Caenorhabditis elegans: one gene and its partner. The protein of the gene in region 2 purifies or fractionates together with the protein of the main gene of each other region. This does not show direct contact. Each region holds a gene or a part of one and is shown on either strand. Other genes may lie near its edges.

Evidence for each region. The genes of interacting proteins can lie anywhere in the genome.
Region 1: the proteins of dld-1 (region 2) and nprt-1 fractionate together in Caenorhabditis elegans (co-fractionation; one large-scale study listed by BioGRID). This does not show direct contact.

What each region holds. Positions count from the first base shown.
Region 1 is NC_003282.8:2,883,627-2,887,379, reverse strand, and holds the start of nprt-1 (Nicotinate phosphoribosyltransferase), read left to right. Parts: upstream 1-2,087; 5' UTR 2,088-2,123; coding exon 2,124-2,145; intron 2,146-3,753. Other genes in the region: dml-1 (uncharacterized protein), read right to left, coding at 1-40, 305-328. UniProt on the Caenorhabditis elegans protein: Catalyzes the first step in the biosynthesis of NAD from nicotinic acid, the ATP-dependent synthesis of beta-nicotinate D-ribonucleotide from nicotinate and 5-phospho-D-ribose 1-phosphate.
Region 2 is NC_003282.8:14,462,377-14,466,129, reverse strand, and holds the start of dld-1 (Dihydrolipoyl dehydrogenase, mitochondrial), read right to left. Parts: upstream 1,614-3,753; 5' UTR 1,609-1,613; coding exon 1,524-1,608; intron 1,444-1,523; coding exon 1,240-1,443; intron 1,161-1,239; coding exon 1,009-1,160; intron 949-1,008; coding exon 526-948; intron 1-525. Other genes in the region: nspg-9 (DUF19 domain-containing protein), read right to left, coding at 2,099-2,253, 2,309-2,457, 2,512-2,632.

The DNA of each region.
Region 1 (3,753 bases), about 12 Mb from region 2:
GGACGCCTATTCTGAGAATTTGCCGTGAGATGGGGGTTTCCTGCAAAAGCCGCAGATTTTTTTTTCTGCGCAAAGTTTACTTTTTCGCGAGAAAAAGTAGCTGAGAACACTTTTTTTGGAAAAGGCTATTTTTTTTTCAAAAAAAAGTTTCCGGCAAAATGGGCTCCAAACTGGCATATTTCTCGTATAAAAATGCGGATATGCCACTTTTGAGGAGCTCCCTCCTGTTCCGACAGGCCAATTTGCTCGAAATCTGGGAATTTCAGCTCGAAATTCCAATTTTCAAGTAGAGTACAGCACTCACCTGCTTTATTGAAAATTTCTGCATTTCCTATAGCTTACAACAAATATGAAATGACGAGTTTTTTTTGAAAATCTCAAAATTTCATTTTCATTTGTAGCAGGAGGAAGTGGACGTCACGTTTCTTTTTTTGGAAATTGTTTTTGAAAACAATTTTGGGTGAAAATAACCAAAATTGTCTCAAATTCAGAAAAACTACAAAAAAAGTGCAAAAAAATTGCGAAAGAATAAAAAATCCAACTAAAAACACGCAATTTCTCAATTTTGGTTAAATTTCTTGGGCGACCAATCAGCGATTCGCTCCGCCCAATTTCGAGCAAATCAGCATTGTCCGCTCCATCTGATTGGTTCAAAAATGGGCGGAGCGATTCGCTGATTGGTCGCCCAGAACATTTAACCAAAATTGAAAAATCTTGATTTTAAAAGTTGGATTTTTCATTCTTTCGAAGTAATTTTTCTGGCGATTCGGAAAATTGCCGGAATTGAGAATTTCCGGCAAGTTCGGAAAATTATCGGAATTGAAATTTCCGGCAAATCGACAAAATCTCGGAATTGAAATTTCCGGCAAATCGACAAATTGCCGGAATTGAACACTTTCGGCAAATCGGCAAATTGCCGGAATTGAAAATTTTCGGCAAACCGGCAAGTTTTCGAAAATGAAAATTTCCGGCAAATCGGCAATATGCTGAAATTGAACATTTCCGGCAAACCGGCAATTTGCCGGAATTGAAATTTCTGGAATTGAAAATTTCCGGTAAATTCGGCAAACCGGCAAATTATCGGAATTGAAATTTCCGGCAAATCGACAAATTCTCGGAATTGAAAATTCCGGCAAATCGACAAATTGCCGGAATTGAACACTTTCGGCAAATCGGCAAATTACCGGAATTAAGACTTTCCGGCAAACCGACAAATTGCCGGAATTGAAATTTCCTGCAGATCGACAATGGGCCGAAAACGAAAATTTCCGGCAAATCGGCAATACGCTAGAATTAAAATTTCCGGCAAACCGGCAATTTGCCGGAATTGAAAATTTTCGGCAAACCGACAAGTTTTCGAAAATGAAAATTTCCGGCAAATCGGCAATATGCTGAAATTGAAAATTTTCGGCAAACCGGCAAATTGATGGAATTGAAATTTCCGGCAAATCGACAAATTGCCGGAATTGAACACTTTCGGCAAATCGGCAAATTACCGGAATTGAAATTTCCTGCAGATCGACAATGTGCCGAAAATTAAAATTTCCGGCAAACCGGCAAGTTTTCGAAAATGAAAATTTCCGGCAAATCGGCAATATGCTGAAATTGAAAATTTCCGGCAAACCGGCAAATTGATGGAATTGAAATTACTGGAATTGAAAATTTCCGGCAAATTCGGCAAACCGGCAAATTGCCGGAATTTAAATTATCCGGCAAATCGGCAAATTGGTGGAATTGAACATTTCCGGCAAACCGGCAATATGCTAGAATTGAAAATTTCCGGCAAACCGGCAATTTGCCGAATTCGTCGACAAAACACTGGAGATTTAGACGCGAAATCTCTTCTATCTCTTCTCTCTCTCTCTGCCTTCTGGTCACCAATCAAAAGTGACCGATTGTACTTTGAAGGGGGACGAGACCTCATCTGTGTGTGTGTGTCCCGGGTGATGTGCTGCTCATTGTGCACTTTCACCCCGCCTCTCTCAGCTTCATCATCATCATCTTCTCCGCCTATCTCTTATATGATTTCTTCTTTTTTTTCCAATTTCTTTTGCCTATCCTTTCATCACACACTTCTTTTTTTCCAGTCTTCTTCCCCAGAACACCCTCACTCAGAAAAAAGAATGTCGTTCATTTTGCCATCAGGTTCGTTTTTTCCGTGTTTGTGTGCACTTTTATGTGTGTTGTTTTTTGGTCGTTTTTTCGTGGTTTTTATTTTGTCGACGGAAAGCAAATGTGTAATTCTGCAAAAATTTCCTGAATCAAGTGGTGTCAGAAAGTCTCATCGCGGTTTGATCTACAAAAAATGCGGGAATTTTTTACCAGAAAAATTGTGACGTCATCACACTCTTTACCATGCGAAATCAGTTGAAAAGTCTGTGTCTCTTCTCCCGCATTTTTCGTAGATCAAAGCGAAATGGGACTTTCTGACTCCACGTGCTGAATTGGAATTTTTTTCCCAACATTTTTGCTGAAATTTTTGCTTAAATTTTGCGGAAATAACACTTTTGATTCAAAAATTGCTCCTATTCCCGTAAAAAAGTACTGAAAAGGGGGCTCAGGAACAGATTTGGAGCATTTTGATTTGGAAATTATCGGAAAATTTGCTCGAAATTTTTTCGGCCACCTTTGAGCAGTTTTTAGGCACTTTTCCCTATATTTTAGCTCAAATTTGAGCTATTTTCAAATACTGTCTACATTTTGCACTAATTTGTAGAAAAAATCACGACCGACCATGTGTCGATTTACGCAGCTGTCGTGTACTCCTCGAGGACAAGAGATTTGGCTTAAAAATACATGATTCTGGACCATTTTCCCAAATTTTTGTGTATTTTTTCCTTCAAAATGCCAATTTACCGCACATTTTCTTTGTGCGTAATGGGAGTATATCGCGACATTACTTGAATAAAAACCCATTAAAAAATTGGAAAAATGGTTAAAAATGGAGCATTTCAGCCAAATTTTGTGAAAGTCCTGAACTCCTCGGGGAGTACACGGGGTTCTGGCCTTTCCCATTGATGTTTTCGCGCTCCATTGGCAATCGCCCGCCGGACAACGCGTGGGAAAGTGTCGTGTACTCCACACATGGACGAATACATTTAGTTTTCCAACTAGAACCGCCGAGCCGCGACGCGACACGCAACGCGCCGTAAATCTACCCCAGATATGGCCGAGCCAAAATGGCCTAGTTCGGCAAAAACTCTTCCATTTCAATTTATGAGGGAAGCCAGAGACATCCGTGATAACTTGAATATCCCCATAAAAATTGGAAAAAATGGTCCAAAATGGAGCATTTCAACTAGATTTTCTTCTTCTCAGGGAGTACACACTGCCTGCGTAAATCCAGACATGGCTACAAATATTCCCACCTTCACGTGAATTTTTCAAAAAAAAAATCATTTTTTTTCTGGAAAAATGGGAAAAATCATGAAAAAGTCAAACATCAAACATCTCGAATAGGTGGTCTTTTTTTATTTTCTTGCACACAAAAATGTTCATTTTTTTGCAATACCGCCCGTGTGTACACTGTATATCGTTTATTATTGTCCTTCTGCTGCATTTTATCTGTTCTCACCACCCACCACCGCCGCAAAGAAATGCAATTTATCGCGCTTTTTGCACATTTTTTGTTGCTCTTTTTTTTGCATAGGATTGATGAAAACAAGTCCTCTCAGTCAATTCTAGTATGGAAGTACTGTAGGGTTACTGTAGGGGTACTGTAAGGATACTGTAGTTCTGGAAGTTTTGAGGAGG
Region 2 (3,753 bases):
CATTTTTATTGTGTATTTTAGGCCGGTAAACAAGAAAAAACACATATTTTAATGAAAAAAATTGTGCCGCAGTAGAAATAAACTGTTTTTTTAATTAAAAAGTGGTGTTTTTCCAATTTACCGGCCTTAAAAAAACTCTAAAAATGAAGAAAAACGGTTACATTGGCTAAAAACAAAGTAATTTCATTTAAAAAAAAAAACGAAAAAGCAACCAAAAGACTGTTGTAGGGTTTTTCGCGTCGAGACCCATCTGAAAAATCCATGCGCCTTTGAAAATTATGCGAAATTTTTGTGAAAATCACGCGTTTTCTAAACAATTTCGGTCGTAACAGGACCGCACAAATCTCATTTTTCAGACGAAATTCGCGCTTTTAGCTTTTCTGAAACGTTTTCGGTCGTTTCAAGGCTTCAGGTAGTATTTTCCGTGTGAAAATCGCCTTTTTAAAGGAAAATCCAAAGTTTTTGCCATGAAAAATCTTGAAATTCAGGTATTTCTTCGACTAAAAATCGGAAAATTCGCCGTACAGTCTGTTTCTTTCCATCCTTGGCTCCTTCGACCTCAACAGTGATGGTTGATCCGTTCTGCGAGGCTCCCATAACCTTCGTATTCAACAAAAACTTGAATCCCTGCTTTGTCAGTGATCTCTGGAAGTTCTTCGACACCTCTCCATCGATTCCCATTCCTCCGACGTGTCCGAGGAACTCGACAGCGGTCACTTCGGCTCCGAGGCGCTGCCAGACGGATCCGAGCTCAAGTCCGATCACACCGGCTCCGATGACGACCATCTTCTTCGGGACTTGTCCAAGAGAGAGGGCTCCAGTGGATGAGACAATTTGCTTCTCGTCAATGGTAATTCCTGGGAATGGGGTGACTTCTGATCCAGATGCGATCAGAATGTTACGGGCGTTGATCGTTTCGACTGAGCCGTCATTTTTCTTGGCTTGAACCTGAAATTTAGAGCATTTTCCAGTGAAAAATCGATAAAAATCAAAATAATTCAGACTAACAGTGTTTGGGCCGACAATGGTGGCGAATCCCTCGACGTGTCCGACCTTATTGGCCTTGAAAAGCTGCTTGATTCCTCCGGTGAGCTGCTTCACAGAGTTTGACTTGGCCTCCATCATTTTTGGCAAGTTCAACGAAGCTGTGCAGTCGATTCCTGGAAAAAAAAGGGAAAATAATGCGATTTTAGCAGATTTTTAGCGTTTCCAGATTATTTTTTCAGCAAATTTTCCTACCTCTTGCTGCAAAATCGTGCTGAGCCATGTGCAAATAGTGGGAATTGTTGAGAAGAGCTTTTGATGGAATACATCCAACATTCAAGCAGGTTCCTCCCAATGTGGCGTTCTTTTCAACACAAACTGTCTTCATTCCGAGTTGAGCGGCCTTAATAGCGGCAACGTAGCCTCCTGGTCCTCCTCCGATAACGACGAGATCGGCATCTGGAAAAAAAAATTCGGGTTTAAATGGTTTTTAAAAACTTTTTATTCAATTTTTCTCGATTTTCAAAGCTTTCTCCTACCTTGAGTGTTGCTGTAATTTCTGGCCAACACTTGGAAAAACTGCCGCTTGGCGAATGGAAGCTGAGTCGTTCTGGACAGCGACATATTACCTGAAAATAAATCGAATTAGAAGAAATTTTTGGCAAAATCCGTGAATTCCGCGTAAAAAAACACGAAAAGTGACAATTAAATGACGCAAAAATCACGAAAAATTGTGGAAAATTGACGTTTTTTCACGAAAAATGAATGAAGCTCGCGAAATAAAAGAAATAAAATCATCCCGTAAAAAACTCCGACGGCTCTTCCCTGTGTCTCTTCCGTGCGAGACTCAAAGCGGAAAATGTGTGCGCCTTGAGCTTGCAACGACACTCCGCAATTACAGAGTGCGTGTTGTTTAGTCAAATTGGCGGATGTTTAAATTTAGGTTTTTATTGAGTTTTTTTTCAGAATTTCGAAATAAATAGATTTCAGTGTTTTTTTCTGGATTTTAAACATATTTCGATGAAAATTTTCCGCAATTAAGAAGTGAAAGAATACAATAAACATTTATTTCGAAAAAATCAAAATTTTCAAATTTTCAAATTTAAAGTAAAATTTAAAGAGATTTCAGCCAAACTCCATCAACAGAGACAAGTTGACCGTCCTTCTGCTCAACTGTATCAGGCATCTTGAACCAATGAACATCATCGACAATTTTGTGGTGAGTATCGAGCCAATTAGCGTTGGCACCGAAGAATGGGCCGAATTTTTCTGAAAATTTCAAAAAATTATTTTACAAAATGCAACAGCGCTCTACTGCACAAACCATCACAAGCCAATGGGCAACTTGGGAAGGTAGTCTTCACGAAAACCTTATTCTGCTCACAAGCCCACCACGTGGCAACTCCAGCTTCTCTGCGGCAGGGAGCAGTCTGGAATGGGGCTGACCAGCAATTCATGAGGTCTTGACCGTACCTGAAAATTAGTTTTTTGATCTACTCTGCAAACGCGCTCTAGCAAACAACTCACTTGCAACCGTTTGTAGCGTCATTTGCCACGTTGGTGATGTAGGTTTGAACGCATCCGATGAGAATATTTGATTGGGTGTTGAGAACTCGTTGTGGGCAGCTGAGGCCTTCGTGCTCGAGAGCTGAAAGTGCGCTCTATTGGATTTCAAAATTGATTTTTAGATATGTATTGTAGCTCACTAAAATGAAAAAAAAAATTTTTACTTTGTGAAAAAATTTGCTGTTTCAATATGCTTTCAAATCTTCAAGTGATTTTTTTTTCAATACTAGTATAAGTTCTAGGTATTATTAAAAAATTTTTAAAAAGTTTTCAACAATGCAACTGCGCTCCACTGAACAAAAAAAAATGTTAATAGCAAAATCAATACGTTTGGGACTTTCTGATTGAAAGTTTTGAGTTTATAAACTATAGCCAGTGTGAAAAAAAACTATTTGGGAAATAATTTGCCCGAAAAAAATATGTTTCGTTTCATATTATTTTCAAAAAGTTTTAGTTTTTTAATTGTTTCACTTCCATTTTTGCTTGCTTCAAAAATAACTTATTGAAGAAGTCACTGCAAAAAAGGGCGGGACCTTGTAAACCCCGCCTACAAAATGGACAAAGATTAATTTCGTTTTATTCCTGCTTTGTGGCATTTAAAGTTTTAATTTTTTTTTTTTTCAAAAAAATTATCGATTGTTTCAACTTGCTTTTAAATATTCAGGTTAATTTATTTTCAATATTCGATGGCTATGTGGACTATTTAGAGCTTAACTTGAATATATAAAATTTACAATAAAGAAAATGCGCTCCACTGAACGAATATTATTTTTTCGCAACAAAAAATTTTGATTGAACATTTCAAGTTTAGTATCTTTGTGCAAAAAACTACGAAAATTAGACAATTAGTTTAATTTGAAAAGTAATTTATGCGAAAAATTATATTCTGTTTCATATTATTTTCAAACTGTCAAGTTATTTTTTATTATTGGTTATTCAATAAGAATCCTTTTATGTAAAATCATTGTAACAAAATTCAAAAACCATAAAATTTATTTCAACGAGACACTACATTTACCGAAAGTCTATTTGCTCATTAAGAAAGGGGCGGAACCTTGTAAACTCCGCCTACAAAATGGACATAGATTAATTTTGTTTTAGACATGTTTTGCCGATTACTTAAGATGTAAAATTTCGGTTTTTAAAAAAAAAAATTATCGACTGTTTCAACTTGCTTTTGAAACTTCAAAATTTTTTTTCCAA